Elephas maximus indicus: one gene and its partners. The protein of the gene in region 2 purifies or fractionates together with the protein of the main gene of each other region. This does not show direct contact. Links are inferred from orthologs where the notes say so. Each region holds a gene or a part of one and is shown on either strand. Other genes may lie near its edges. The genes, in order: anaphase-promoting complex subunit 2, ANAPC4, ANAPC7 and ANAPC13.

The links.
Region 1: the proteins of ANAPC4 (region 2) and anaphase-promoting complex subunit 2 purify together in Homo sapiens (affinity purification with western blotting; 12 studies listed by BioGRID and IntAct, with this or other methods). This does not show direct contact. The link is inferred for Elephas maximus indicus from reciprocal best matches to the Homo sapiens genes ANAPC4 and ANAPC2.
Region 3: the proteins of ANAPC4 (region 2) and ANAPC7 purify together in Homo sapiens (affinity purification with western blotting; 14 studies listed by BioGRID and IntAct, with this or other methods). This does not show direct contact. The link is inferred for Elephas maximus indicus from reciprocal best matches to the Homo sapiens genes ANAPC4 and ANAPC7.
Region 4: the proteins of ANAPC4 (region 2) and ANAPC13 purify together in Homo sapiens (affinity purification with mass spectrometry; 9 studies listed by BioGRID and IntAct, counting the BioPlex papers as one, with this or other methods). This does not show direct contact. The link is inferred for Elephas maximus indicus from reciprocal best matches to the Homo sapiens genes ANAPC4 and ANAPC13.

Annotation. Positions count from the first base shown.
Region 1 is NC_064827.1:1,039,105-1,046,542, forward strand, and holds the start of anaphase-promoting complex subunit 2, read left to right. Parts: upstream 1-4,299; 5' UTR 4,300-4,432; coding exon 4,433-4,549; intron 4,550-4,850; coding exon 4,851-5,473; intron 5,474-6,432; coding exon 6,433-6,565; intron 6,566-7,438. Other genes in the region: TPRN (taperin), read left to right, coding at 36-267, 350-456, 553-615; microtubule nucleation factor SSNA1, read right to left, coding at 2,950-3,057, 3,499-3,698, 4,160-4,211. UniProt on the Homo sapiens protein: Together with the RING-H2 protein ANAPC11, constitutes the catalytic component of the anaphase promoting complex/cyclosome (APC/C), a cell cycle-regulated E3 ubiquitin ligase that controls progression through mitosis and the G1 phase of the cell cycle.
Region 2 is NC_064823.1:137,986,203-137,994,415, reverse strand, and holds the start of ANAPC4 (anaphase-promoting complex subunit 4), read left to right. Parts: upstream 1-4,939; 5' UTR 4,940-5,027; intron 5,028-8,213. Other genes in the region: rRNA N6-adenosine-methyltransferase ZCCHC4, read left to right, coding at 4,792-4,939. UniProt on the Homo sapiens protein: Component of the anaphase promoting complex/cyclosome (APC/C), a cell cycle-regulated E3 ubiquitin ligase that controls progression through mitosis and the G1 phase of the cell cycle.
Region 3 is NC_064840.1:9,000,699-9,008,580, reverse strand, and holds the start of ANAPC7 (anaphase-promoting complex subunit 7), read left to right. Parts: upstream 1-4,676; 5' UTR 4,677-4,759; coding exon 4,760-4,860; intron 4,861-7,882. UniProt on the Homo sapiens protein: Component of the anaphase promoting complex/cyclosome (APC/C), a cell cycle-regulated E3 ubiquitin ligase that controls progression through mitosis and the G1 phase of the cell cycle.
Region 4 is NC_064844.1:45,037,515-45,045,176, forward strand, and holds the start of ANAPC13 (anaphase-promoting complex subunit 13), read left to right. Parts: upstream 1-4,415; 5' UTR 4,416-4,435; intron 4,436-4,476; exon of another isoform or gene 4,477-4,611; intron 4,612-4,638; exon of another isoform or gene 4,639-4,764; intron 4,765-7,480; exon of another isoform or gene 7,481-7,662. Other genes in the region: CEP63 (centrosomal protein of 63 kDa), read right to left, coding at 685-815. UniProt on the Homo sapiens protein: Component of the anaphase promoting complex/cyclosome (APC/C), a cell cycle-regulated E3 ubiquitin ligase that controls progression through mitosis and the G1 phase of the cell cycle.

The DNA of each region.
Region 1 (7,438 bases), on a different chromosome or scaffold from region 2:
CCTGGGTCTTGCTGATGGGTGTCTCCTGCCTCCAGATGAAGATCTCCTTCAACGACAAGAGCCTGCAGACCACATTCGAGTACCCCTCTGAGAGCTCCCTGGTGCAGGAGGAGGAGGCGGCCGAGGAGCCAGAGGAGGAGGGGGAGGACGAGGGGTCCGGCTCAGAGGGGGCAGCCGAGGAGAAGCCCTTTGTGCTCTTCCTGCCCCGGGCCACCTTCGTGAACAGCGTGGGGCCCGAGAGCCCTCGGCTGCCAGGTGGTAGCCCAGGTGAGTGCCCACCTGTGAGGGTGGCAGTGGGGGAGGGCAGTGCTGGGATCCCAGGTCCTCATACTGCGCCTATGACCCACAGACCTGTCCAGCTACACTCCAAAGCACTCGGTGGCCTTCAGCAAGTGGCAGGAGCAGACAGCAGAGCTGGTTCCGTGCGAGGTGGAGCCCCTTCCTAAGGAGATCATGGTGAGTGGGGGCTGGAGGGTACCAAGGGGCAGGGCCAGAGAGGGTCTTGAACGCCTGGACAAGCCAGCAGCCTCAGCCATCCCCTCTTTCTCCCAGCTCACTCCTGCCGGCCAGAATGACCTCTCGGACTTCCGCAGTGAGCCGGCCCTCTATTTCTGATCCTTCAGGATGATGGGTAGAACCCTGGTGCAGGTGGTGGGGCCAGCAGTTCCCAGGAGCCCGCCTTCACTCTGTCCCCACCCCTTACCAGGCTCCCTTGCCACAATGTACCACCTTCTGCCCTGCAAGGGCAGCCAGGTGCTCAGGGCCTGCACTGGGGCTCCTGGGTTCTTCCCATGGGTCTGTCTGGGTCTCACTTCCTTTGGATGGGCTCCAAAGTAGAGAGCGGTGTGGGGCCCAGGGGTCCGGCTGGATGGCGCCCCTGTCTGTCCTGGTGGGGGCCTGAGCGGACTCTGGCCCAGGTTACCCTCTGTCCTGCCAAGCCCTGGCTCCTCATCCTGCCCAGTTGCACTGTGAAGGGGCTCTCCCCTGCAGGGGCTCCCTGGCCCACCCCTAGCCCAGCCAGCACTGACCCCCAAGGCTGAGCCTGGCCCTGCTTCTTGAGTGGTAAACGGGAAGTCTTTCCTGAGGAACGGACTAAATAAACAGCACTGGACACTGCCGCCTCGGTCTCTGGGTGGTCCCTCCTGTTGGGCATTCAGGGTTCAGGGGTTGGGGTTCCACGGAGCACATCTGCTGGGGGCCCACTGGGGGGTGGGGGAGGGGAGGGACCTTGTAGATGGGCACCTGTGGCCAAGTAGGAGGTACCTGTTGGCCTCTCACAATCTCCACAGCCCCAGCTCTCCCCCACCATTCTCTCACCCAGCTGCCCTGTGTCGCCTCTCGGTCAGTGTCGGGAGCGCCTGGTGCAGCACCCCCACCTAGAGCTGGCAACTTTAGGAGGCAGGATGCTGGGCCTTCCATCTGAGATTGGGAATTCTTTGTGTGCCAGGACCTGAGTTGGTTCCCTGAAGAGTTAGGGGCAAGGAGCCCGAGAGGGGTTGAAGAGCAAGGGCTGAGTATGGGCCCACGGGTGGTCTGGGGCAGGGCAGAGCCCTGGAGATCTTGGCTTTGTTTGGCTTGGAAAAGTCCTAACCCAGCAGAGCCCACACAGTGGCAGGCAGGCAGGCAGATGTGGGTGCCTGGGGTGGGCGCTAGTGCTGGCAGGAAAAACCGAAGTATGTCAAGAGGTGGGAAAGCCGAGGTGGGGGCCCCCACACTGGAGCAGCTCCTGGCTGGGCTGGGGGCCCAGATATCCTCGCTGCCACGTGCAGGCTGAGCCGGGCTGTTTACAAATCCACAGGCAGGACCGACCAAGCATTGAGTCTGAATACCTGTTTCCTTCCTGGGGAGTTAGGGAGTCAAACTTATGAATGAGCAAGTGGGACCAGGTTTGGGACAAAGGGCAGCATGTTGGTGTGTTCTCTCTCCTCTCAACAACATGTGTCTCCCCAAGGCACCCAGCCACAGGCCTGGGTTGCTGCAGTGCTAGGACCCCAGGGTGGAGGATATGCCAGCGAAGGTAGGGTTGGAGAGGTCTGGGGATGAAGGATGGGGCCCAGCAGCGCAGGGAAGAAGAGAAGTGGACAGAAAGGGTGTGAAGCTATAAGGCCTGTGTTCAGAGGAACCAGCGTCCAGAAGGGGGCTGGCGTGCACACTCAGCCATTTCCAACTGTCCTTGGGCCCGGCTATGGTGTGGCAGAGAGCACGACCAGCAGATGAAGGCCCTCAGAGAAGGATGGGCTGTGTCCTGGATTTGGGGGAAAGTAAGTGGGGGTCGGGTGAGACAGGGATAGAGCAAGTGGCCGTAGGTGAAGCAAAGGTCTGGGGCTGACATCTGCAGGTAGGCGGAGGAGGGTCATGGGAGATGCCCAGTGGCACCCTCTGCATCTGAGACTGGGGCTCTCAGTCACAGGGAAAACCACTCCAAGTCCCCTTTCCCTGCCCCGCCCCATGGAGGAGCCACCATACCCAGCCAGAACCTTTGTGGGCTAGCTCTGGGGGTGGCAAGCAGCCCCATGTACTCGACACAGGCACAAGCCAGCACGATTCTTTACAAAGAAAGCCTTTATTCACACAGTCACGGGGCACTAGGAACAAGCTCTGAGGTCTCAGTTCTGAGGCAGAAGAGGGCCCAACCACTACCTCACTTGCCTGGGCCCCTGCTGGCCAAGGAGGGACAAGGGAGGCAGAAGTCCTGGGGGTTGAGACTAGAACCAGCAGCACAGGGAGGCGTGGAGGTTTTGGAGTGCCCTCCCCAATTGCTGCCTGCTGGGAGCACCACGGAGCCAGATCCCTGCCTGGTAGGCTACTTTTCTCATCCAGAGCTAACAAAGGCTGCAGCTGCCTTGATACCAAAGACAGGAAAAGAAGGTGGCTGCTGCCATACAGAACAAAGACGCTTTATTAACAGGTTTCCTGGGGGCCAAGTAGCCTGGCCCACCCATGGCCTCGTCAACTGTCCTTGCCCCCACTGGCCTTCTGCTCCGAAGCCGTGGCCTTGGTCAGGTTCCCAGCTTCTCTCTTCAGGACACTAAGCAGAGTCTGGGAGCTCTCCAGGATCTGAGACCAAAGAAAACACAGGCTGGTCATTGATGCTCCCGCCTGGGGGGTACCCGGGGACAGGCAGGGCCTGCAGGGGCCTCTTCCCTCCCCAGGTCTGGCCAGTGCTTTGTTCTCTGCCGGCCCCCCGTCCATCACACACCGAGCAGAGTGAACCTCAGGAACAACCGTGGTAGGAGAACATGGGCTGGGACACACCATGTTCCACAGACAGCATTCTCCTTTCCTCAGTGGGCCCAGCCGAGATGTGGGGAAGATGCAGACTGCTCGCTGGGACCCCTTGCTCCCACAACTGAATGCCCCTGTGCTGAGCCAGGGTCCGGGGAGGGGAAGGGAAGCCTCTACTCAGGAAAGCCCCCAGTCCTGAACCCCCTAGGCACTCAACGCTTGCCCACACAAGGGATCGGCCTGGCCTGTGGCCCCAGCTGCCTCGAGTCCCACCTTGAGGTAGGCAGCTTCCGTCTCCGCGATGGTCCGGTCAAACTCGTTTCGAGAGGCGATCTTTCGAGCCAGGTTCTCATTGACCCGGGCCAGCTTCTCCGTCAGCTGCCTCACCTCGTTCTGCAGCCGCTGCTTCTCGTCCTCTTCCTGCTGGATCTGGCGGCACAGCTCCTCGCGCTTCTGGGACAACTCCTCGATGCCTGGGGCGGCAGGAAGGAGAGCAAGGTCCTGGCTAGGCCGCCTTCCCTCCAAGGAGGGCCAGAGTCCTGCCTCTCGGGGGCCTCTGGATACAATAAGGCGGTGGACGTGGGCGACAGCGCTGTGCCTGGGAGGTAGTGCTCACTACAAACACGCGGCACTCAGTGCGCACTCGGTGCGCACCAGGCGCTCTCCCACGCGCCTTCCACGCACAGTGACCGAGCTGGGCGGGTCCTAATGTACCGCTAGGCCCACCCTGGGGCCAGGAGGCCACGCACGGACTCGGCGCGACACTTGCCCACGGCCACGCAACTGCTTGGCGGCCGCGCGCCTACTGCCTGGGGCCCCGCCGCTGGGCCGCCGCCTCCAGCGCCCCGCTGCGCCCGGGCGGCTGTGCCAACGCTGGCCCAGGCCCCTCCGCGGGCTACGACCGCCCGGGCTACACGGCGCGGGACGTGCTCACACTTGACCAGCTCGTTGTTGTAGTTCTGCAGCGCCGCTCCCTGCTGAGTCATCGTCCCGGACACTCGCCCCTCCGCCGCCGCCGCGGGGATCCCGGTCACTCCAACCGCCGCCGCCGAGCACTCGCCTGCGCCTGCGCAGTGCGCACCGAGAGCGCGCCGACCTGCAACGTCATCGCCGCGCGCCTCTTTTGCGTCATCGCCCTGCGCCGCGCCCGGCCCGTGCGTCAAGGAGCCGCGCTGATCCGGGCGGACCCGGGAGCCGGTGGGCCCAGATGGCTGCAGAGGCGGCGGGGGCGAAGGGGGACTGCGACCCCGCGCCCGGACAGGAGCTGTTGGTGGCCTGGAACACCGTGAGCACCGGGCTGGTGCCGCCGGCTGCGCTGGGGCTGGTGAGGCCCGGAAGAGAACGGCGGGCTCGCGCGCGGTCCCCGCGAAGCTTTAGGGCCTCCGCCTCTGTCCATCGCCCGTCTCTGCCCTCCCGCCCTCCTCCACAGTCCCGCATCTTTCGGCTCCCTTGCCAGCCCTTCCCAGCGTCGGCGCCACATCGGCGCGCTGCGGCCGAGGAGCGGCGGGGCTCGCGCAGCCTCCCCTCCGCTGCACTGCCCGCCTTTCCCGCCTGCCGCTCCCCTCCCCCGCCACGTCCACTCGCAGCTCTGCGTTCCCCTCTCCTCACGGTTGTCTGCACTGTAGGCGTCCTCTCGGACCAGCGGTGCGGTCCAGCCAAAGGAGGAGGAGCTCCGGGCGGCTGTGGAGGTTCTGCGGGGCCACGGCCTGCACTCAGTCCTGGAGGAGTGGTTCGTGGAGGTGCTGCAGAACGACCTGCAGGCTAACATCTCCCCCGAGTTCTGGAATGCCATCTCCCAGCGCGAGAACTCCGCGGACGAGCCCCAGTGCCTTCTGCTGCTCCTTGACGCTTTTGGCCTGTTGGAGAATCGCCTGGATCCCTACCTGCGTAGCTTAGAGCTCCTGGAGAAATGGTCTCGCCTGGGATTGCTGATGGGCACTGGCGCACAGGGGCTGCGGGAGAAGGTCCACACCATGTTGCGGGGTGTTCTGTTTTTTTCCACTCCCAGAACTTTCCAGGAGATGATCCAACGTCTCTACGGGCGCTTCTTGAGAGTCTATATGCAGAGTAAGAGGAAGGGGGAAGGAGGCACCGACCCAGAACTGGAGGGGGAGTTGGATAGCCGATATGCTCGCCGCCGTTACTACCGGCTCCTGCAGAGCCCACTCTGTGCTGGGTGTGGCAGTGACAAGCAGCAGTGTTGGTGTCGCCAGGCCCTGGAGCAGTTCCACCAGCTCAGCCAGGTCCTGTGAGTACTATGCGTGTGGCCACGCCCCTGGGCCTCCTGATTTCCCAATTGTTCCTCTGGGTCTGGCTGCAGAGAGCTGGTCAGCTGGCCAGGGGCATCCCAGAGGGAGGGGGCCCTGGCACCCTTGGATGGTGAGTTTTGAGCCTTTGGTCTTGGACCAGTTGTATCTCTTTAGTTTTTGTGCACAGCCCAGGAGTTGACACTTTGCCCACACTGAGACCCTATGTGACTTGTGCGTGCAGCAGATTTCTGTCCCCATTCCAAACTTACTGGCTCCCCAGAATTCTGCTGTACTGCCTGTAGGCTAACGGGAGTGTACGTAGCCTGTGATTGTGGTTGCTGTGCCAGTGGGTAACAAACAGGGGGCTCACCATTTCTTCTGTGCTGAGCGTGTCAGGCAGGCAGATTTGTGTCCCCATTCTCTGGGAAGGAGTTCTTGTTGGCTGCAGCCAGGCTCTGCTGTCTGCTCCCTCCAGCGCGGTTATGATTTCTGTCATGTTGAGCAAAGTGGTTGCGATGCCGTTGTTTGGAAGGGGTCTCTTAGTTAGATTTGGATCAAGGGAGTGGTCCCGCTGCTGCCAAGGGCCCTAGAGGCCCTGAAGGGCTTCTGCTAGGCTCATCCCAGTTGAAGGTTGTATGGAACGCTCTTTCTTGTTTCCTCGTGAGTAGCTTTATTTTTCTAGACCAGCGTTCGTGCTGAAAGGTGCAGACGGTGGTATCTATGTTTACGTGGCCCGGGTAGCAGTGATTCAGTTGCTGTTTCCGAGCCAGGCCAGGGAGATGGGGCTTGGGCCTCTGGTAGCTCCCCTGCCGCCACTTCCTACGGGAATGGCCATCACCCCAGTCTGGGCAGTCCAGCTGGGCAGGCCAAATGGCACCTCGCCAGTGCTCTGTTCTCCCAGCAGCTTTTCCACAGAGCCCTGGCACAGCTGACACTGCACACACTCGTCTGTTCTCAGACACAGACTCAGTTTGCTGGAACGGGTCAGTGCCGAGGCTGTGACCACCACGCTGCACCAGGTGACCCGGGAGAGGATGGAGGACCGCTGCCGGGGCGAGTACGAACGCTCCTTCCTACGGGAGTTCCACAAGGTATCGCCGCCTTTGCTCCGTCCCCTTTGGAAGTGTGCCAAAGTGCAGAGACGGAGTGGGCTGGGACCTCGAAGGTAGTTGAGGCCATTCCGGGGGCTGCACTGATCATGTTGCATCCACGACGTGCTGGGTGAAGTCTTAGCGGAATCACACGGTTCGAGGCAGTGCCAGGGCCAAGCAGCGGTGTGGCCAGGCCCACCTGAGAGGGACAGACTGATCTCCTTTTAGCTGCGCCCCCCGGGGACTGACCCCTTGCAGCCAGCCTGCATCCCAGCATGGCCTGCGCACCCCCATGGGGCAGAGGAGGAGGGGCAGGAAGAGAAGAGCAGCCAGGGCAATGGGGGAGACTGGGGAGACAGCCTGGCAAGGTGGGGTCGTATCCCAGGGTGGGCCTCATGGTACTGTGCCATCCACAGACAGGCTTGGGGCTCTCCCAGAGCTGGCGGAGAGCTGGGACCAACCGTCGTGGCTCCCTGCTTTTCACCTGTTCTCACTCCGCCATTTCTGAGGGTCGCTCTCCAAAAATGACGGTTAGCATGGTTGAAGGAGGTACAATAGGGGTCCTCCAAGCAGTGGGCAAGAGTGGTCATGAGCCCTGGCAGCCCAGCTGGGACGAAGTGCAGATTCCCAGATACTGGAGTGAGCCGGGGACTCAAGGCGCAGCAGCCCAGGGCAGCTTGGGCTGTCTCTGTGGTGTTAACCCCACCCACGTCTGGGACGCCTCTCAGCAGGATCACACGTACACACACACACAGGAGTGACTTTGTCCCGCACTGCTTTGTTTGTGAAGGGCAGGGCACTGGTAACATCTGTGTCCTGGAGGGGTGTACCCACGCGGTGCATGCAGCGTGTGAGTGTGTGTGCAACTGTCTC
Region 2 (8,213 bases):
ACCAAAATATAAGGCAGAAACTGATTAACTGTACCTGTCCTGTGTCCAGTTGTAATTTGATAGAGGGAGAGGTTATGTTTCACTGTAGGGTAAGAGTTCAGGCTTTACTGAAGGACTCTTTAAGCCAGTCTTCCAGGGACAGATCAGGTTTAGACTTGTGGTAGCAGGAAAGGCTGGAGAAGGTATTTCAGATTGAATGTAACATGTAATTCCATGGTAGAGAAATTGTAAAATGAAATTATTTCTTAAAAGCAAGTCAGACGAAAGGAAAATACTTAAAAATATTTAATATGTAAATGTTTCAAACTTTTATTGCCATTCTTTTCTATGATTATTTTCACTACTACCACCAATATTTGGTATTGATTGTAGACCAGAGAAAAGTTATACCAGTAACAATAGCATATTTAGGAAAACCATTGCTATTTCAACCAGGCTAATTTGAATGATTATAATTATCTTTTTTTTTTTTTTAAACTAAAGGGATGATAGGAATTGAACCCTCTTGTTTTATGGATAAGAAAACTGAGACCCTTTCCTAAGGTCACATGGTTATTAGGTAGAGATTACCAGATATCCAAATTTCACATTACATGAACGTTTGAAATCAAGATAGAAGATTCTGAGCCGTCATGTGAGCTGTGATGAAAAAACACCTATTAGTATTAGAAGTATATGATGCATTCATTAGTTACTATTTTATGATTGTATTAGGATTCTATTATCTCTTTTTATTTTCTTTGTGAAAATTAATTTTTTTCATTAAAACCCAGCCACTTGAATTCTACCTCCTACTTAAACTGACTTTTCCATTACTTTTTATCAGATTTACTCTATTTTAAATAATTTTTTCCATTAAGTAACCCGAATGGAAGTAGAATTTTAAAAACATTAAAGAGGCTGTCGTGTAGGCTTTTAATATCTTAGAAAATTAGTAAAGAGATACTCAGGTTTGATATGCATAAGCTTTAGTTTACTGCAAGGTAGTCATGCAGGTAAGACCTCACAACATTCATTTAGAACTGGAGAATCAGAATTTACAATTACAATGTTGGTCAATGGTTAGAGTCCAAATCTTTTGCTTTCAGGTTTATACCTTTGATGAGAGGTCTCAGGAGGCAGGCTTCACCACAGCTGGAACTCATTAGAGATCCCTTACAGCTAGGGTCCAAGGCCAGTGGTGGTGGACAGAATCTCAGTTCCATATCTATCTTCTCTCAGTACGCGAGCAGAAATTTAGAGTTTATATGTGAATTTATCACCTTGGCTTCACATGAGGGCCAGTGTGACGTCAAAGACTAGTATGTTCTGTCTTTTCTTCAGGGTTAGAGAGTAGCCAAAAGATGCATTTTCTCTTCAAGGTTAGACATTAGGGAGGTTGTTTAATTAATGTTGTTTTCTTGTATCACAGGATGCTGGGTCAGAGTGAACTTAAAGGTTATTTACATTCTTTACATACTTCACATGCTCCTGTGTTTCTGTGTCTAAGTTTAGAAATTTTCTAAATTACTTTATTAGGAGAGCCTCAGAGTGGTAGACATAGTTCTAAGTTCATATTATGAGTGCTTATTCATATGTATTTTGAAAGCATAATAGTGTCTTAGACCTTATGGGATTTGAGATCATTATAGAAACAGACAGAACTTATTGACGAATCTTACAAAATCTTCTAGTAGAAACCTTTAAGAGTAGAATGCAACCTAATAAACTATCGGTCTGTGACTGTTACACTATTCTCAGTAGGAACAGGAAGATAACATGCTCAGCCTTTACCTCTGTAAACTCATGATACATAGAAACTGAACTTGCATTCTTACACACACACACACACACACACACACACACCTGTTGCTGTCGGACTCATAGATCCTATAGGACAGGGTAAAACTGCCCCAGAGTTTCCAAGGCGCTGCTGGTGGACTCGAACTGCTGACCCTTTGGTTAGGAACCAAATGCTTAACCATTGTACCACCAGGGCCCGGTAGGCTCTTTCCTGGGTTTTAAATAGCCTCAGTTAGTCTGTTTTGTGGTAATACAGTACAACCTGTGAGAGCTGGAACGTGACAGGACTGCCTTGTTTTTCTGGGTCTTGAAAGTTTTCGGCCTTTGACAGGTTGCAGTCTTACTACTTTTCTGTTGCTCTCTATTTGTGGAAAATATTTGTGTTTTCCTTCTCTGACAGGTTTCCACCTTACACAGGTTCCGGCTTTCACAGGTTTTACCGTATATTGTTTTCATTGTGGGAATTCATCTGTGTCTTTCAGTACAGATTTTAGGAAGTTTAAGTCTAAGAGCAAATCCTTGGGGATGTGGTATATCTGGTCATTCTTAAATAGTATTTTACTTGCTTCTCTCAGAGAAGATTCCTAAACTCTTGCTAACATTTCTCTTAAAAAATTTTTTATTTTAAAATTAACAAGGCTATGTTATTTTTTCTCTTTAAGATAGTAAAAAAATAATTTTAATAGTATTTTAGGCATACATGGCATAAAAGATCTTTTTAGCTTCTGTTTTTTACAGCTGTTTTATATTAATTTGTTTTTCCTTAATGCTAATTTTCCTTTGGTTGTGAACTGGAATGATGCTGGCTCCCTCTTGTGGTTAAAACTCATTTTGTCAATTACATAAATACTTTTAGAGGACAAAGACTAACTTTAATTTTAAGTAAAAACAATTATTTGATTTATACTCAATCAGTTCATCACAGCTTCAAGACTTTATATCTGCAAAGCTTTGTTTATTCATATTGAAAATGAATATATTAAGATTTTTTTCCACCTATTTTTGTTTACTGTATCCCCTAGTGAAATCTGGTTATAGTGTTGATTTTTAGTCATGCTTATTCGCGGATGAGCCAAAGAAAAATTTGTTTAAATTTATTTGTACAGGCATTGACTTTGTTATCAAGAGATTATACTATACTTCATTAAACTTGCTAAATCATCACTTATCAGGAAATTATCTTACATTTAAAAATTGGCTGGGGGAAAGAGGAGATTTGTATAACGTGCAAAAACAATATAAAGATGACTGTTTTCATTTTGAACTGATAGAATATTCCAATCCATAGTGCAAAGTCTACATACGGAACATTGCAAACTTGTCAAGCGAAACTGAATAACACTTGAGTCGTGTGGAACTACTACTAATATTTATTGAGTGATTACCATATGCTTAGCATTTTGCATAGCTGAGTAATTTATAGTAATGCATAGCATCCAAAATGATTAAAAGCAGTTTCTGGAATCAGTCTAGTTTTGCCACTTCCTCACTGGATGATCGTAGATTTTCATAGCCTTAATTTCTTTTCCTAAAAAAAGCCTAGGGAAGGGATAGGAGGGTGATTTCCGCCTCATCTGTCTTCTAGCTCTTTGAAGTCAAAGATTATGCCCATTCATTTTTGTATTCTTGACACTTATGCCGAGTGAACAAAAAGTGAGGCTTAAGTTTGGTTCACTAGGGGATTATGTATTGTTTGTGAAACCTTTCGCAGGTTTTGGTCCTGGGAGGTCAAAAATAAGCTTTTCCCCAGGGCTTGTGGTTTACGAGAGGTGAAGCTAACTATTGATATTGCTAGCTATCAAAAACCAAATCCATTGCCATCGAGTCAGTTCCGATTCATAGTGACCCTATAGGACAGAGTAGAACTGCCCCCTAGGGTTTCCAAGGCTGTAATCTTTACAGAAGCAGACAGCTGCATCTTTCTCAAGTGGAGCAGTCCGGTGGATTCGAACCGCGGACCTTTCCATTAGCAGCCGAGCACTTTAACCACTTCACCACGAGGGCTTCTGTTATTGCTGACTAAACCAAACCAAAACCAAATCCAGTGCTGTCGAGTCGATTCCGACTCATTGCGACCCTGTAGGACAGAGTAGAACTGCCCCATAGAGTTTCCAAGGAGCACCTGGTGGATGTGAACTGCTGAGCCTTTGGTTTGCAGCCATACCACTTAACTACTACACCACCAGGGTTTCCTTTTGCTGACTAGTGACGGGAAATTTCTAGGCTTGCCAGAACTGTTAAGCCCAACCTGTTCTCTGGTTCATGATACGATAAATGGTATTCTTCCAGCTTGGAGAAAGTGAATGTACAAACCAGTAGTCTTTCTCAGCCACAGATTACCCGTAACTTAGTTCAGAGAATGCCAGAAGCAAATGATCTGTTTTTTTCTGGTGTGGTTTAGTGCTTTTAGAGGGCAGGGTCCAGCTTTTTCATTTTGAAGCTAGTTTTCAGGAAGACAGGGACCACAAAATGTGGACAACCTGTATGGCACTTGCCCAGGACTTTTAGTTCCTGAGGAAAGGAAAATTAGCCCAAGGACTGTAGGACTTATAAAATGGGCCCCTTCCAGTGTTGTCATTTTCCCATTATGCTAACTGCCGAATGCATAGGTCCTTTTTGTAAAAAATGTAATTCAGGGGTTTGAAGATTGAAGTGCTGAGTTGAGCAGTATGGATGTACCAAAAAAAAAAAAAAAAACAAAACAGAAAAAACCAAAAACATAACTCATTGGCTTGACTACCTCTGTGATGTGTTTGTCCTAAACAGATTGTTCTAAATGTGTAGTAACCATCTTTCAAAGAAATTTCTTTTCTCAAACATTTTGTTTGGTCAGGCTTCTGGCTATCTCCTTGTTACTATGGTAAGAGTTCTGTGGATTTATGCTTATAATACAGTAAATTCCTTCTCTCCTCTGTTTTCTTATTTGGTTAGCTAGTTAATTAAACTTCAACATAATTACAGAATTTACTGTGCTCATTCTACAAAATAATTTAGTACCTTGTTTTTCAGAGCTGTCAGGAAGCAGAAGCAAAGAAAAAGTAATAAGATGGAATTGGAGACCACTAAAGGACAATCCATGAATCATACATCTGTTAGAAGGAAAAAAAAAGAGAAGGGAAAGAGCCCATCAATATCTTTGCTCTTAAATGTCCAGTGACTTGAGAATCAGAAAAGATTTATAGTCCAACCTTTGATGCCATTTTCTGAAAGTGCCACACTGGACTTAAATTCAGCCACTTGCAAAGGTATGTACCTGGCTAAGCCAGATACAGTCAGGCAGTATATGCTGGTTTATAGATGCCTTGTCCACCTCTCTGGAGACCTGGGGAGTTGTTCCATCCTTAGCTGGCTTACTAGCTCTCTCTGCATGCCTTCCTTCTCTTTTCCAATCATACTATTTTAGCCTTCTTTATCTGAAAAATGGACATACAGCATTCTTTTGCAGAAGGTGTCAGAAGAAAATGAAAGTGAAAACTTAAGAATTTTTGTTTACATTGAACATAAAACTCTGTTAACTTAGAAATGGAAATATTTGAAGTTAAATATTAAAACAGTATGAGATGGTTTAAACTCCACTTGAAAAGAAACGTACAATGTACAATTATTTTTAGGCTGCATCTGAAGATGGAAATAGTTTTGACAAAGGCACTCTGAAGATATAAATATAATTATGATGACATTACTCTTAAATATTTACTTGTAAAGTACATTTTATAGTTGTCCTTCAATGTACAGAATCACTTGTCTTTGTTGAATGAATGAGACATTTAGAATCAACGAGCTGTGTCATCTCGGCTTCTTTTAATCTATGCTGTTAGTGTATCTCTATGTGTAAGTAGTAGCAGAAAGCAGGCTAGTTTGGTGGTTTAAACCCTCACTCATATCCTAACACTTCCTGGCTGTGTGTCCTTGACCAGGTCACTCACTGTCTAGAAGCCCGTTACTCATTATTACAATGAGGATAATAATAGGTAGACCCAGGTTTGCTTTAGTGAGTTAAATGAGACACATGTGCCTCACTCATGGCTCTCTTCTGTCACTGGTGAGCCATGATAACAAATGAAGATTGCTGGGGAGGCCCGATGTTAATCCTCCAGTGGTCCAGTATCAAAGCACTGCAGGGAGCAGTTTATACTCAAGAGAACAAACAGTTCATCTCCCCATTTCCCTGCTAGATATCTGACGTTATCTCCTCAAAACTGAATAGTTTCGAATGGCTTCCACCTGCATAATGGCTTTCCCTTGTCCCCAAACTACCGCTTTAGAGCAAATTTGGAGGCATCTTTGCTTGGGGTTAGCTGGAGTCCCCTGTGAGTAAGGTTGGAGGGAAGTGCACTCCATCTGGTGTTTGAATTCCAGGTATGTTAGGCCTTTTCAATACATGAAGTGGAATACTCTAGCGTGGCCCTGATCGTTGTGGTAGTGGTATATTTCAGGTGACATCCAAGGATGGGCCAAGTTCCTGGACTTTTAGAAGCATCAGAAAACTCTTCTCTTGCCCCCTTGGTCACGTGGGTTGCTATGGTGGTAGGAGAGACAGATTTGGAGGTGATTAGATGAGATGTGAACCTGGTAAAATCATTGTAAGAGTAACCTTCTCTGAGTCAGACATGGACAGGGACATTGCCTCACTGTTGTGGTATCCACCATACATGATAACTATGAAATCTCTCAAGTATCTCTGTCTGGCACCCAGACACCTGTGGGACCATGACTCCTGAAGAATTGAGCCCTAATGGCTAATGGTTATCATCACATTATTTCCTTAATTTTAAGACACCATCAATTTTTTCTTTTTTTAATTGTAAAAATATATATATATATAACACAACATAACGTCAATTCAACATTTATGTCTCTCTTGCACGTTATAGGTGCTCAGTAAAATTGTTTTGAAGGATAGAATTTTCTAGAAGTTTTCAGATGGTAGGCATGCGTAAGATATGGAGAGAACTTCTATTTTCTGTTTCCTGTAAGGGCTGAAAAAAAGGGAAAACAGATCTACACAATTCTGATAGGAATTTAGAGTCAATACAAGGACTATTCTAACACTGAGGTTTTCAATGCTGGAATGTGCTGTGTGAGGAAGATTGACAGCCTTATCTGGAAGTCTTTAAACTTAGAATAATTTGGCTTCCTAGGTTGTTTTAAGAAAAACATTTATGTTGATGTCTGGCCTCTTCGAAGTAAGCTATAAAATACTAGGCATCTGGGAGAAGTTTGACGAGCTTTTGGGTATAAAACTACAGCCTGCAAAAGGCCCTGGGGAGATGCCACCTCCTTCACGATGTCCTTGTTGTTCTCTCCAGGGGAATAGCACTTCTCTTGCCAGTGCAATAAAAATACAATGTGTGCTTGTGTGTGTCTTAATTTGTACTTCTCTTAAGGTACTTAAAGCATGCGCTGTATTAGAATGACTTTAGGTACTCGTTTACCTCATTACACATTAGAAGCTCACTGATGACAGGGGCCTTGTGGACATAACGATGTTTGTTCACTGGTTCCTGGAACTGCCCCTTGCGCCCGGTGACATCAGAGATAACCAGCTGCATCATGTATGATCTGGGTTACTCCACCCAACAACTCTGGGAATTAGGCAGACAGCCTAACGCATTTCTTTACACCAAGACAATACCTTCCAAGTGTTAAAAAAAACCTTCCAAGTGTTAGGTGCTTATAAATACAGATTAAGTGAGTGGAAATGCCTCAAAACCTTAACTCTGCTACTTGAATAGGAAGCTAACACACTTAGAGCTGCCCAGGTGAGGAACACTTCCAGAAAATGGAAAGGAAAATCTAATTTCATTTATTTGATGCTATTTTAATTGGAGCATTAGGACATGTGTTAAGTTACTTGAAAGTGATATGATACGATCATATGATATGATTTCTACTATTTGATTTCAGGTGAGCTAGTGTAGACTGAGGGAGATAGCAGCAAAAGTAAGCAAGTAAGCAAGCAGACGTGCTAGCTCTGAGTTTTACCCCATTAGCTGGACAGTCACAAGATTCTCAGACTGGTTAGTTGTTGAATACCACTGCAGATGAGACAAGGTAATTCCTAAGAAACAGCTGGAGTAGGCAGACCTCAGTTTCTTCACCTACAAATGTGGCAGTGAGGAGTGGGAGCAAACTAGGGAAAGTCACCCAAACATTCTGCGTGTTAAAAGGGGACTATTAATACATGAGCCCAGTAAATCAAAGAAAAAATCACCCCTAATCCTACCACCCAGAGAGAATCACTGTTAAAACGTTGAGGTTTATTCTTACGGATAGATTCTTGCATAGATAGCAATACAGACATACCCTAAGTTTTCCCCCACAAATACAGAATTGTTAATTATTCCTGTTTTGTAACTCACTCTTTTTCATAAATATGTTGTGGACCTCAATTTATAACAACAGTATTTTTTCCAATATGGATATGCCGT
Region 3 (7,882 bases), on a different chromosome or scaffold from region 2:
AGGGTAGAACCACCCCATAGGGTTTCCAAGGCTGTAATCTTTACGGAAGCAGACTGCCACACCTTTCTCCCACGGAGCGGCTGGTGGCTTTGAACCACTGACCTTTAGGTTAGCAGCTGAGTGCTTAACCTCTGAGCCACAAGGGTTCCTTATGTAACCTATGTGTTTTTATTTTTTGAAAGCTTCATTGACGTATAATTTACATACAGTAAAATTCACCCATTGTAAGTGTACAATTCAATGATTCTTAGTAAATTTACAGAGTTGTGCCGCCATCACCACAATCCAGTTTTAGAACATTTCTGTCAACCCAAAGTGACCCCCGTGTGGTCAATCCTCACTCCCCCACCCAGCCAGACAACCACTAATCTACTTTCTGAGACATTTCATAGAAATGGATGCATAGACTATGTGGTCTTTCACCTCTGGTGGCTTTCACTTAGCATGATTTTCAGAATAATTTTTTTTTTCAGATCCATTCATGTTTTGGCTGTACTTTATTCCCTTTTATCGCTGAATACTGTTTCATTGTATATGCCACAGTTTATCTATTCATCAGTTGATGGACATTTGGATTATTTCCACTTTTTGGCTATTATCAGATGTGGTTTTACTTACAAAATATTTCAAATGTAGAAAAATATATAATAGCAAACATGTAGTGCTTAGGAGTCGCTGGGTGGCGCAAACAGTTAAGCGCTTGACTATAACCAGAAGATTGGTGATTTAAACCAACACAGAGGTGCCTTGCAAGAAAGGCCTACAATCTGCTTCCAAAAGATAAAACCCCGTTGCCATCGAATCAATTCTGACTCACAGCAACCCTATAGGACAGACTGAAACTACCCCATAGGGTTTCCAAGGCTATAATCTTTACGGAAGCAAACTGCCCCATCTTTCTCCCTCAGAGAAGCTGGCATGTTCAAACCGCCAACCGTTCTGTTAGCAGCCAAGTGCTTGACCTTTGTGCCACCAGGGCTCCCTTCCAAACTGTAACAGCCTTGAAAGCTGCGGAGCATAGCTCTACTCTGCAACACATGGGGTCACCATGAGTTGGAATCAACTCTACAGCAAAGATTTTGGTTTGTTTTTTTTATATGGCCCTTTTTCTTTTACTATGTGCCAGACATTGCTCTGAGCGTGTTAGATACAGTGGTATACTTAGCAAGTTTGACACCCAGAGTAGATAATTTTTACACCTCCTATATCGACTCAAGGGCACTGGGTTTTTTTTTGGGTATGTTAAAGTACATGACAAAATTACTTTTAGCAATGATCCTGAAATGAAAGAAGTAATCGTAATGGCCAGAAAATAACCAATGAAAACATATTTTATCTGAATTTCATCTAAATAATGACAGTAAAAATTTAATAAATATTACAGTATAAAAAGGTAATGGCTTAAAACTTAAAAATTTTTTTCAACAAAAAACAAACCTGTATTTTATTCATTGGTCTGGCACAGAAATAAATATTAGTTTCTATTTTTGTTCCTCAAATTCTGCAACCTTGTCGATCATTTTGTCAAAACTGATTGTCTTGGCATATTCGTACTCAATGAGCGGTAAAAAAAAGTCATCAATCACTGTAGCACAAGCTCATAGGTTATTAAAAAAACACTTATTAATTTTACTTTCAAAGCACCAGATATGCAAAGTTATGAAAAGTCGTAAACATAAGGATAAATTTGTGGAGATTAATAAAAGCCCCATTTCACAATAAATTCCAAAGAGCCACAGGTCATATTTTTTTGGTAAGAAGTGGAGAATATTCCTACTCTGTTTAGCTCAAACATCTAACCTGCCTCGTTCAATTTTCTCCCTGGCCCTCATACGCATCTGAAGTGGCGATCTAATATATTTTGCCACTGTGTAATTAGGTGTTTTGGAAACAGCCATTTAAATATCTGGCACAAAATTTAAGCAGGCGGCCTCAGTTTCTCCACCTGTAAAAAGATAACAATTTCAACCTTACAGACTGATTTGTGAGCAACCCATTCAATGCAATAACTGGTGTAAAACTTTTGTAAAATGTCAACTGTGTTAGACAAATGCTGGCTATTATGAGTACCAGCTCATTTTTGGACGCGCCTTCTTCATTCACTGTGAGCTAGCGAGTCATTTCACAGGGTAAAACTGCCCTTTCGCACGGAAGGCAGCTATCCAGGAGGGGATGTCTGACTCCCCAAGAACGCACGAAACACCTGCCAGGAGGGGGTGTGGCGCCTTCAGTCTAGTGCGCAAGCGCAACAGGAAGAGCAGTTAGGACTGCCCCTGGCGCCTGCTTAAAATATTTAACTCCAGCTTAAAAAAAAAAAAAAAAAAAAATTTTTAATTTTTTTTATTGAGGATTTATTTTAGGTGGACTCGTGGGGTGACACCAAGGACGTCATACCTGAAGAATGCAAAAGATCATTAAAAAGACAGAAAAGAAAGGCCAAAACGGATGTCAGAAAGGACTCTGAAACTTGCTCTTGAAGGTAAAGTAAGTCAAGCAAATGGAAAAAATGACATGAAAGAGCTGAACAGAAGATTTCAAAGAGCAGCTCAAGAAGACGAAGTATTATAATGAAATGTTCAAAGATCTTGAATTAGAAAACCAAAAGGAAAAAACATGCTCAACGTTTCTCAAGCTGAAAGAACTGAAGAAAAATTCAACCCTAGATTTGAAATACTGAAACACTATGGGCAAGATATTTAATGATGCAGGAAGCACCAAGAGAAGATGGAAGATGAAAGGAATACACAGAGTCACTGTACCAAAAAGGACTGGGCGACATTCAACCATTTAAGGAGGTAGTGTATGTTCAAGAACCGATGGTATTAAAAGAAGTTTGAGCTGCACTGAAGTCATTGGTGAAAAACAAGGCTCCAGGAATTAACAGAATACCAGTTGCAATATTTCAACAAACAAATGCAGGGATGCAATCCTGGAAGCACTCACTTGTCTATGTCAAGAAATTTGGTAGATAACTACCTGGCCGACTGACTGGAAGAGATCCATATCTGTGCCGATTCCAAAGAAAGGTGATCCAATAGGAAGTGGAAATTATCAATGTCATTAATATCACATGTAAATAAAATTTTGCTGAAGATAATTAAAAACCGGTTGCAACAGCACATCAACAGGGAACTGCCAGAAATTCAAGCTGGACTCAAAAGAGGATGTGGAATGAGGGATATCATTGCTGATGTCAGATGGATCTTTGCTAAAAGCGGAGTATACCAAAAAGATGTTTACCTTGTTTTATTGACTATGCAAAGGCATTTGATGGTGTGGATCATAACAAGTTATGGATAACATTGCAAAGAGTGGGAATTCCAGAACACTTCTTTGTGCTCATGGGGAAACTGTACATAGACCAAGAGGCAGTCATTCAAACAGAACACAGGGATACTCCCTGGTTTAAAATCAGGAAGGGTGTGCATCAGAGTTGTATCCTTTCACCGCACTTATTGAATCTGTATGTACTGAGCAAATAATCCGAGAAGCTGGACCGTATGAAGAAGAACTGGGCATTGGGATTGGAGGAAGACTCATCAACAGTCTATGACATGCAGATGGCACAACCTTGCTTGCAGAAGGCAAAGAGGACTTGAAGCACTTACTGATGAAGATCAAAGACCACAGCCTTTAGTATGGATTACACCCCAACATAAAGAAAACAAAAATTCTCACTACTGGACCTATAGGCAATATCATGATAAATGGAGATAACCCTGAAGTTGTCAAGTATTTCATTTTACTTGGATCCACAATCAACACCCATGGAAGCAGCAGTCAAGAAATCATATGACATATTGCATTGGACAAATCCACTGCAAAAGACCTCTTTAAAGTGTTAAAAAGCAAAGATGTCACTTTGAGGACTAAGGTGTGCTTGACTCAAGCCACAGTATTTTCAATCACCTCATATGCATGCTAAGCCTGGGCAATGAATAAGTCAGACCAAAGAATTGATGCCCTTGATTTACGATTTTGGAGAATATTAAATGTACCATGAACTACTAGAATGAACAAATCTTTCTCGGGAGAAGTACAACCCGAACGCTCCTGAGAAGGAAGGATGGTGAGACTTGGCTTTACGTACTTCGGACATATCGTCAGGAAGGATATCATGCTTGGTGGAGGGTCAGCGAAAGAGAGGAAGACCCTCAAGATGGATCGACACAGTGGCTGCAAGAATAGGCTCAGGCATAGCAAGGATTGTGAGGATGGTGCAGGACCTGGCAGTGTTTTGTTCAGTTGTACACAGGGTCGCTATGAGTCAGAAGGGGCTGGATGGCACCTAACGACGACGACGTTGAAAATTTTTCAGCGCCCTACTGTATTTTTTCTACTTTTTCAAATTTGATTTTATTTATAATAAATGTGTATACATTAGTAATTAATTTTTGAGGTACACATTCCTCTCAGACTCATCTCACTTCAATTGAGCAATTATTCTTACTGAAAGGTGTTCGGTCCCTAGCCTAGCCCAATGTAAGCCCTCAATAAAGTTTGCGGATTAGGAATGATAACATAATTTTTCCTTACGGGGCGGAGGGGGGATTGCAAATCAAGCGCCCCAGTACGTCACAGGAGGCGCGGGGCGGCCAGGACCTGACTTTTTAAGCAGGCACTACGGAAGTCGCCTATTTTCTTGGAGGCGGTGCCTCACGTGGACCCGATGGACCCCGGCGGGGCCGCCATTTTGGAGGCCTCTCTAGGGCGCCTGTACCGGCCTTCGGTGCCGCTGCCTGCGGCTTCGTCGGGTAGAATGAACGTGATAGACCACGTGCGGGATATGGCGGCCGCGGGGCTGCACTCCAACGTGCGGCTCCTCAGCAGCTTGTTACTGACGATGAGTAACAATAACCCGTGAGTCGAGGCGGGGAGCGGCTGGGCTGAGACAAAGCGGCGCCGGTTTGGGAGCGGGGTGGAGCGGCCGCGGGCCCCAGGTGAGGCTCAGGTGTCAGCGAGGCCTCGTCGGCGGATCCGACGTGGGAGCGCACGGCGAGTTCGCTGGGATGAGCTCCCCGCGGAGGACTGCACGGCGGGAGGTTCCCAGGATTGCCCTGAAGGGGGTCCCCCGAAAGGATTGCCCTGGAGAGGGTCCCCCGAAAGTTGGGAGCGACCGGTTTGCTGAGGCACCTGGCGCCGAGCAGAGCGGCTGTCAGGCGTCGCTGGGCTGAATCCTGCCCTCCCGGCTCCTTCCGGAAGAACGTTTTCCCGCTCTCGGCAGCTCCAGGGGGCCCAGCCCCCTGCCTTTTATTCCTTTTTCCCACCCTTGGGATTGCCTTTCTCCTTTGAATGTCTCGCCTAGACAAGCCCCTGAAAACGGGCGGCTCCCTCGATGATCAGGTGGGAGTGGCGCCTCTTTATGTCAGGTCCCAGGACTCCCAGGAGATGCAGAGCGTGCCCCTTTCATATTCTCACAGCTGCCACTTACTGAGTCTTAGGATGGATGAAGCACCGGCCTCATTCCAGCTGTGATCGCATTGTCATTCCCCTGCTTAAAATCCTCCATTGTGCTCAACATAGCCTGCAAGGCCCAACCCGGCTTCATCTCCTTTGCTCTGCTCACTGCCTTCCAGCCCCCTCGACAGTTCTTTCTGTGACTTAAACGCATCAGGCTTGTTCTCACCTCTGGGCCTTTACACTGCTCTTCCTGCTGCTTCATTCAGTTTTCAGCTCAGATATCCCTCCTGGAGAGCCCTTCTCTGACCACTAGAATTGTCCCTTTTCCCTACTCTTCTAGCCGATTGCTCTGTTTTATTTTCTGCATCACTCTTGTCACTGATGAAGTTCTGTTATTTCATCTACATCTACCTCCCCTGCCAGACCGTAGGCATCATGAGGGCAGGAGCCCTATTAATTGCCTTCCCTGCTGTATCTTTAGCACTTAACCTGGTGTGCAGTAAGCACTCATGTGTTTATTAAGTGTGATAAGCAAGTGGGTACGATCTCTGGTGAAATACCTTGTCCAACTTCACACATTTAGTAGGTGGAGGATCCGGGATGGGACCTTGGTCCTCTCTGCCTCCGTGCTGACCCACCACAGCCTAAATGGCATTGTGGTTGAATTTCCTACTTAGCATGGACCCAGTGTGGTTGGTCTGCTCTAGAAGCAGTCTACGTCAGAAGGGAAAGGCCTTAAGTGCCTGTAGTGCAGCCACTGCTTCCCATTTCATTTCCATGAACGTGCTTTGGACTTCACTCTGTGAGACCCATCATTTTGCCACCATCCACTTAATGCTGACAGCAAGGAGCCCTGGCTTCTGTCAGCCTTCTGTGTTTATTCTGGAGCCTTTCACTTGCTCCAGAGTGATTTGCCAAAGCATATGGTTTCCACACTTGGGATTTATGCACCAGTTAGTCATTACTCATTGTTTCTTTTTCTTTTCTTTTTTTTTTAATTTATTTATTGGGCTTTAGGTGAAAGTTTACAAATCAAGTCAGTCTCTCATACAAAGAGCCGTACACACCCTGCCGTGTACTCCCAGCTGCACTCCCCTTAACGATACAGCACACTCCTCTTCTCCATCCTGTATTCCCCGTATCCATTCAACCAGCTCCTGTCCCCCTCTTCCTTCTCATCTCACCATCAGGCAGGAATCGCCCACATGGTCTCATGTGAGTCTAGGCCAATCCTTGTCTGTAGAGTTGGTTTCAGGAATGGTTCCAGTCTTGGGCTATCAAAGGGTCCGGGGTACTCATTGTTTCTTGAAGAAGTTATAGGATAGTCTGATCCTCGGGCTGCTCTTTAGTTAGCCTAGGCTTCTTCATATGAAGTTCGACTGGCAGCTTCCTAGCTTCTGCCTCTAGAGGAGAATATCAATAAAGAAGAGCAGACACAACATGTATCTATATATTTAAGTTCTAACCTTTATATTTTAAAATTTCTTACTGAATAGACAGTTACATGCTAATAGTTTAAAAAAAGTACAGAAAGGGTTGTTGTTAGTTGTCTCAGTAACAGAATGAAACTATTGCCCCGTGCTCTGTCATCTTATATGCAGATAGTGTCTGTCCCTAGCTCCTGAGCACCACACCACCATTCCCTTCTCCAGAGGCCACAGTTGTTAACAGTTTTTCATGTATCATTCCTGAGAGAACCTCACCTCTGCCCACATAAATAGGCGTGTATGTTACATTATATAAATACCTGAATGTGTTCTGTGTATATGATGATACTTTGTTCTTTATCCAAGCATCAGATACATACTTCTCACTAAATACATAGAATCTCAGAGTTGGAAGAAATCTGAAGTCATCTGCACTGTACCTTACAGTTCTTGAATTTCCTTTGTAACTTGATCTAGTGTTTAGCCTATCCTTTTTTTTTTATTATTATTTTTTATAAGGAGATAGAATTCACATAAGATAAAATTCAACCTCTAAACTGTCGAATTATATGGTTTTTAGTATATTCATAAGGTGTGTAACCATCACCACTACCTTAATTCCGGAACATTTGATCACCCTGCACAAAAAGAAATCCACACCCATTAGCAGTTACTCTCCATCTACCCTTCCCCAGCCCCTGGCAACCACTGCATATTTACTTTCTGTCCCTATTGTACCTGTTCTTGAATACACCTCCATTTGTTGAGAAACTCACTGTCTACAGAGTTCTTTCACTCACTCTGTTCTTTAATTTTAAGCAGCTATAGTTTCTACCTGTCAAAGAAAACCATGTTAAGCTCCTTTTCATTTGGGAATGAAGGGGCAGGGTGGGATTGGAAATTAAAAGTATGAGTTTCCCATTAAGAATTCAGAATGCTGGCTTCTAGCCAGTTATAGTGCTTACGAGCAGTATTCAAGGTTAAAGAAAAAGTTTTGAAACATTGGGTCCTTTACACTGTCCGTAAACCCCTAACACTCAAGAAAATAAGAATTG
Region 4 (7,662 bases), on a different chromosome or scaffold from region 2:
AGTTGGCAGCCTGCCATTTAAATTATTTCATATGCCTTTAATAAAATAATTTTATTGCACATATCCCTAGTGGAGTAAAAACTAAGGATAAAAAAGAACTGCAAAGAAATCCTAAACACCACTTGGGAATTATATGAATAATAATATAATTATATGAATTATATGAATATGAATAATAACAATAATTGGTATTGTTAATTTGAAACCATTACATAATTATAGGATAAGGCAAAAAAGAAATATTTAATGACATTAGGTACCAAGATTTTCAGCAAGAGAAAAAGATACAAATATAAAATCAAACACATGATTTAAAAAAAAAATCTATAATATTAAACTGGAAATGTCATTGTGAACTCTGTACATTTCTCTTTTAGCTCTGGCTACTGTAAATCGTAGAACCAATGACCACCTAAAAGGAACCAGGGCTCCTTGGAGGCCAGAAATGTATAGATGACCAGGAATATGTTTTACTAGGAAGCAAGAAAATTATCAGAGACTACTGGAGTCATGTCAAAAAGAACAAGAGCCAACTTAAAAGGACTTCTGCTAGTTAAAGATAGTACAATTTGACTATCAAAGAAAAGAACAATGATTCCAATAGGTCAAAACAGTTAAAATATATTCAAATCTATGAGTATATGATGATAAAAAATTAAAAAAAGCAAAAACCTGCATGGTTACCTTTGGAAGTTGCTAGGGCACCGACTCATTACTGTAGTCTGAAAATAGAGGGAAAGAGGTAAGCATTTTTCTCGCCTTTCCTGTACAAACTGTATGTCAGGATAATCAAATAGCTGATGAGGGAAAGTCATCCTTCATAAAAGATTTCCACCTAATAAATACAGAAATAATGAAAAAATTGCAAAATCACCATTTTGCAAACCCTAATGCAATAATTTGGTGGCGTAGCGGTTAAGTGCTATGGCTGCTAACCAAAAGGTCGGCAGTTTGAATCCGCCAGGCATTCCCTGGAAACTCTGATGGGGCAGTTGTACCCTGTCCTGTAGGGTCACCATCAGTCGAAATCGACTCGATGGCAACAGGTTTGGTTTTTTTTTTAATGCAATAATAATAGGATCAGACAGTGTTTTGTTCTGTTGTACATAGGGTCGCTATGAGTTAGAAGGACTGGATGGCACCTAACAACAACAATGCAATGATTAGGAGCCCTAGCGGTGCGTTGGTTAAATGCTCGGCTACTTACTGAAGGGCCTGCAGTTTGAACCCACCAACTACTCCATGGAAGAAAGATGTGGCAGTCTGCTTCTGTAAAGATTACAGCCTTGGAAGCCCTATGGGGCAGTTCTACTCTGTCCTATAGGATTACTATGAGTCAGAATCAACTTGACAGAAAATACCGCAATAATGGATACAGTAAATCTAACCCACAAAAGTATTTTACCAACAGGTGAACCGCTCATAGGAGCTTTTATGATGAATGGATTGGGCTAACAACACCTGAACCCACTGTTCACAAAAAGAGACCACTCAGACACTACCTGCCCCCCGACAATGATACAATAGCAAGTACACTGCAGCACCTATAAAATATTCTTGCCCCCACTCATCAAAAAAAGAAAAAAATCAAGGGTGAATATGATCAAGCTTATAGGTAAGTGCTCTTCAACAGAGCTTTATGCAATTACGGAAATTATGGGCGACTGGGCTTAAAATGTGGCTAATGCAGCTAATGAAATAAATTTTTAATTTTAATTAATCTAAATAGCCACAGTTGGCTGGTGGTTACCATATTGGACAGTGCAGTTCTATATCTAATGGTTTAGCAGAAATAACAGAGGTACAAGTTAAAGGATACCACATAGCTACAACCAGCTAAATCTAGATGGCAATGAAAAAAGGGGAAAGAGAAAAGCAAATTACTAAGATTGTAACAGACTTAAAAAGTATATCAACCAAATGTAACATGTGGGTAGATCTTTACAAGACTTTCATCCAAACAAGCGAACTGTAAAGACATTTATGGGATGGTTGGTGAAATCTGAACCCTGCCTGGATATTGACATTATAGAATTATTAATTTTGTAGGTGTGATGACAGTATCATGGTTTTGTAAAACCGAAAAAAGAAACCTCTGTTCTTGGAGGGAAAAACCCGTAAGTAACATAAAAATCAGAAATTCAATTCCTGAAACCTTATGTCATAATTGGCTTTGGCAGAACAAGTCAACATTGGAAAAAAAAGGAATGATCTAATGAGAGAGTGGACTACTCACCATAAGGCTAAGGGCTTCTACCTCTTAAGTGGAGGAAAATGGCATCAGTACAATTAATATATATACTTATCACAAATTTTTTACATCTGAATTTACATCATTTTAAATGGCAGTGTCAATCCAAATGTTTATAAATCTCTAATCCATTTTAGTTTAAAGCCTTTTTTAAAATTATACCTATCTCTGATAATGACATAGTCAAAAGGCAAGCAGCAAGCAAGTTTGAGAAACAAATGGAAATTTATAAGAATGAATAATTTTTTCAAACCTTCTGAATTCAGGATAAAAATTAAAGACAGTATTGTATTCCACATAAGAAAAGATATACTTTTTATTGTATCATTAAGCTCTAGCTATTAAGTGTATGGAATCTCTGGGTGGTGCAAAGGTTAATGTGCTGGGTTGCTAACCGAAAGTTTGGAGGCTCAAGTCCATCCAGACGCACCTCAGAAAAAAGGCCTGGCAACCTGCTTCTGAAAAATAAACCATTGAAAATCCTGCAGAGAACAGTTCTACTCTGACACACATGAGGTCGCCATGGGTCGGGATGAACTGGATCATTTTTTTGTTTTGTTTTGGTTTAAGTATAAACGTAAATATTTGAAGGTAAAGTGTAGTTGATGATCATTATCATGATTTCCTCTTCATCTACAGCCTTGGTGGCACAGTGGTTAAGAGCTCAGCTGCTAACCAAAAGGTTTTAAGTTTGAAGCTCCTTGGAAACTGTGAGGCAGTTTTACTATCCTATATGGTCGCTGAGTTGGGATTGACTCCACCAAAATGGATTGTTTTTTTCTTCATCTCTATGAAATAAAAACTAAATGCTAACATGAGCATTTATAAGGACCTGTACAAATATGGGAATCTACAATATCGCTTTATTAAAGAAATAAAGTAGCTTTCTTTAAAAATCGGTTTAGGGAATCAGACGCAAAAACTAAGTGCTCAGGGGAAACTACTTTATGGAAGTGTACTGCACTGTTAATTACAAAAAAAGACTAGTCTCTGACAGCCTTATATTTCTCTCCTGATGTTACAGGGACACAAGAAAAACCCCATCACGAGCTAGATTTACTGTCTCTATTTTCAGGATTAAAGTGTTTCTAAGGAATCGCCGTTTTTAACCCACTCTTACGTGGTTCCCAGTCCTGACTTGCACGCATGGAGCAATCAGTTCAGGGTTCCCCAACTTCAGTCCTTCCCGAATTTTGCCACATCCTCGTACTTCCTGTACTAAATATTAGCATTTTTTAAACGAATTCGCTTTTTTAAAATTGTTAACCACCCAACCATTCATGAGCCGGTACTACCTGCAATAAATCAGCAACAATGCTAGAAAATTCTAACCAGATCCAGCAGCAGGGACAGATTGTCCAATAAACAAGGCACGCACGGGCTTACTTGTGCTTATTATTAATTTGTGCTTATTCACCTACGGGCCAGGTGAAATTGTGCACTCCAGAGAAGTAAACACAAGTGAACCCGTGTGTACCTTGCTTACCGGTCAATGCGCCCCTATCCAGCAGCCTAGGTAAGGGGTTGTGCTGAGGGACCAGCACCGTAAGGAGGAGAGCGCGCGGGAGCCTTTGCCACGAAGAGCGGACTGCCAGCGGCCCGCCCACCCGACTGCTCCCCGAAGCACCCCTCCCCGCCGCCGGGCTCCAGCAAGGCTGACCACCTGGCGGGCCCGGAACGCGCGCCAGGCGCCGCTACGTCCGCCTTCACAGGCCGGCAGGAAGCGCGCAGCATAGCCGAGGGGCGGGGGGCGGAGGGGCGCCGAGACGGGCTTGGCGGCTTGCGGGCGGCGGCGGCGGGGACCGGGCCATGCGGCCCCGCGGCCGGCGGCACCACTGCAGCCAGGTCGCCCTCCGAACGAGCCCGCCCCTCACCCGCTGCGCCAAGCGCACAGGCGGTTACCGGGGTACCGCGAGCGCGCCCCCGACCCTTCCCGCCGTTACCTCGGGCCGGGGACGCGCACGCGCGTCCCCACCAGCCCTACGTCCCGGCTCTGTCGTTAGCACGTTCGTTCCGCCCACTCCCCCCTCACTCTTCCTTGAAACAGTGTCCTTTCAGGACCTCCCCTCTGCGCGCGCAAATGGGCTCACCCACATCCGGGAACGCGCGAGAGGGGCGTGCTCGGCGGAAGCGAGGCCGCGGTGGGCTGGGTGCTGGGGAGAGCTTCCCGCGCTCCCGGCCCAGGTCTGGGGAGGGCGAGGAGGCCTTCGCTCTTTGTGTTGGGTCTCCTCCCCGTCTGCCGTTGGCCGAAGTCGGTGACCTTACCTCTCTCCCTGGGAGTTACCGCCCGCACCGCACGCCTCGTGGGGCGAAAAGGCGCGTCCGGGCGGCGGGGGACCCCCTCCCGGCCTCCGTATTCGGTCTGTGCAGCCCCAGGCCGGAAGCCGCGGCTGTGGAGCGGCCACACGCACAGGGGTGTAGACGGTGGTGACCCGCGAGGACGGTTCTGGCGAAGGAAAGATCGTTCTGCTTGATTCTGTAAATACGTTCTCAGGGCCGTGAAGGAGAGATGGGTAAAACGTGTCCGTGTTTCAGGGAACGCGCGCCGCCCTTCTGGGAAGACACGTAACGAGCCCGTAGTGTGGCCGCTCCATGCGCCGGGAGACGCTAGGACCCGCGGAGGGTTGGGCGTCGCGCTCTCCTCAGGCTGGGAGAAAACCGTCGGCAGGAGGCTTACCTGGAGCTGATCTTTTAGATGGAGGTTTAGCCGAGATGAGAGAAAAGAGCACCCCAGGCGTTAGGGCTAACACATGTGTAGGCACAAAGGCGTGGGAGAGAAAAGTTTGTTTAGTAAATTCCAAGTGTATTCGGTCGAGTGTGGTGAGTGCTTGGGACAGTGGCCGTGTCCTAATACCAAAAACCCACTGCCTCCAGTTCGCTCCGACTTACAGCGATTCTGTAGGATAGAGTAGAACTGCCCCATAGAGTTTCTAAGGCTGTAATCTTTAGGGAGCAGACCAAAACCAAACCCACTGCCGTCGAGTCGATTCCGACTCATAGGACCCTATAAGACCGAGTAGAGCTGCCCCATAGAGTTTCCAAGGAGCGCCTGGCAGATTCGAAGTGCCGACCCTTTGGTTAGCAGCCGTAGCACTTAACCACTACTAGGCATCCAGGGTTTCTTTAGGGAGCAGACTGCCACATTTTTCTCCCTAAGTGGCTTGTGGGTTCGTCATTGGTTTCAATGACGTTTGGGTTAGCAGCCGAGCACTTTAACCACTGTGGCACCAGGGCACCTTCCGCTTGTCTTAGACATGCTTATATTGATGCTTCCCACTTCTCCAGTCCATTAATCGTGAAGCCACCTAACCCCAGGAATGGGGTGTTGAATCCAGTGCCAGATTGGGGAAAAAAGTAGGAGTTAGTGATAGGGAAAGGGCGGCTATAAGTGCAAGGGCTGGGAGGTGTGACAGGATTGGAGGTGTTTGAGAGAGGAACAGGTGAAAAGCGATAGAAACAAAATTGGGGAAAGGTATGCCAAAGAGTCATTAATAACCAAATTTATATATATAACAATTGGAGATAATATTTTTTTAATCAGTGGGCCACAATGCTGCCCTGACTTGGTTAGTGGATCGTAATGACAAAAAGCAAGAACAGAAATTAACTAAAACTCTAGTGATTTCAGAAAATTTTAGGAATGGTGAAATCTGTGTGGGCCTGGAAAAATCTGCAGGTTTGAATCAGTGGAGAAAAGTGAGGGGGGCATGGGGGAAGGGAACAGAGCAGAAAGGACAAAGGGAGTGGTAGCAGGACAAAGGAGCGCCCTTGGAGGACAGCAACTCCACAGGTATAACTGGAACCGAAAGTGAAAAAGCCTTGTGTGTAAATTTCCTAAACACAGGCTCTTTCAACTTGATTGACATTGTCGGTATAGTGGAGTAATTCTTAAGTGAAATATTACGATCTTCCTAAACTAGTTTACTGGTGGCAAAGATAGCTGGGCACCTTTTGCTTCACAGTTTTGCCTGGATCCTTACAAGAGTAAAAAACTTGCCCTACCCCAACCTGTGTAATTATTGCCCCAGTGTTTGGGCTATTGTGCAGTTACACTATTTGGACTACGTACAGGCCTGTATGAAGGAACTGGATTCCACCCCCAAAGACCATTCTTGTATGAGTCTCTGCTGTTTCTGAAACTGAGAGTGTCTAGAGTGCCTTTGGTGCCGGTGTCCTCCAGGCCTTCAGGATGGCACCTTTGTAGCAAGGAGCACAGTAAAGTGGTTCCCATGATGAAGTGACAGAGCCTAAACTTGGAGATTGGGAACCCAGAGGTACCCACCAAGCTGCCCAGCCTTTTCAGTTAGATTGCACCTGTTTCAGGAGGAAATGGGAGGAATCAGGGTCAAGGAGCTAAGTAAGTATCTTGACCACTTGAACCAGATTATTAAACGGGGAGCAGCGATAAGAATCCAGGGAAGAAACCCCACGTGGAAGCAGAAACTGGGGCAGCATGGGGTCCTGCCACCGTTCACCTGGAGAGGCCCTTTTCAGAGCTCGCTCAGGGTTCTGTTTTAAGAAAGGAGGTAGCTCGACTGCTGAAATCTTCTTGCCTTGAGGATTTGTGTCAGATCTGCTCTTGGCCACTATGTGTAACTCAGTTCAGTTTTTCGTTTAACTCTTGTATCTTAAAAACGCCAACAAAGGCAGAGACTTTTGTAAATGTAGTGCAGGAAATCTGTGAGGGGATGGACACGGGACTTAGCAGGCAGTTATGAGTCAGGAACTCATCAAAGGCCTCATAATCAGGGAAGAGCAAGGCTTTGAATTGGTTCGGTCATGGCCCAGGAGACAGGAAAAATTACAGGTGTCGAAGCCCTGTTAGAAACTTAATCTCCTTGAAAACCAAAGGCAGCATATGGGTTGCATGGCAACCAAATATCTTGCCCTTTGGATTTTGCGCAGTAAGAAGCAGTGGTGCCTGGCTCAAAGATGGTGGCTGAGCATGCTGCTTTGAATGTGTCACTCTCCTCATTCCTGGCAATAACCCATTCTCACAAATCAGGCTCCTTAAAGGGTGCACTATGCCACTTCTGAGTCTCCCATTGCAGGGCTTTGACCCATAATTTTTTCTGTTCCACTTATGGTTCTGGATCACCTAAATTTTAAAAATTTGTTTCTCTTCCAGTGTTAATTCCTTGGCCATGACTGAACTGGGAAGAACTGGTTCGAAGCCCTGGGGAAAAGTAAATGCGCAGCTAGGAGGGAAAAGCTGCGTTTTAGGTGTGCAGTGGCCTCAGGAGTTGGAATCGACTCAATGGCAACAGGGTTTCACGAACAAGGCCGTCACATACGTTGCCCTCCTTTCACACACTGTGAAATTGGCCTCCCTGCCTCCCCCTCCCACGTGTATGCTATATCTGTCCAGGGTACACTTTTAGAGCATTCATCAGCTGAGGATGTGCTGGGTC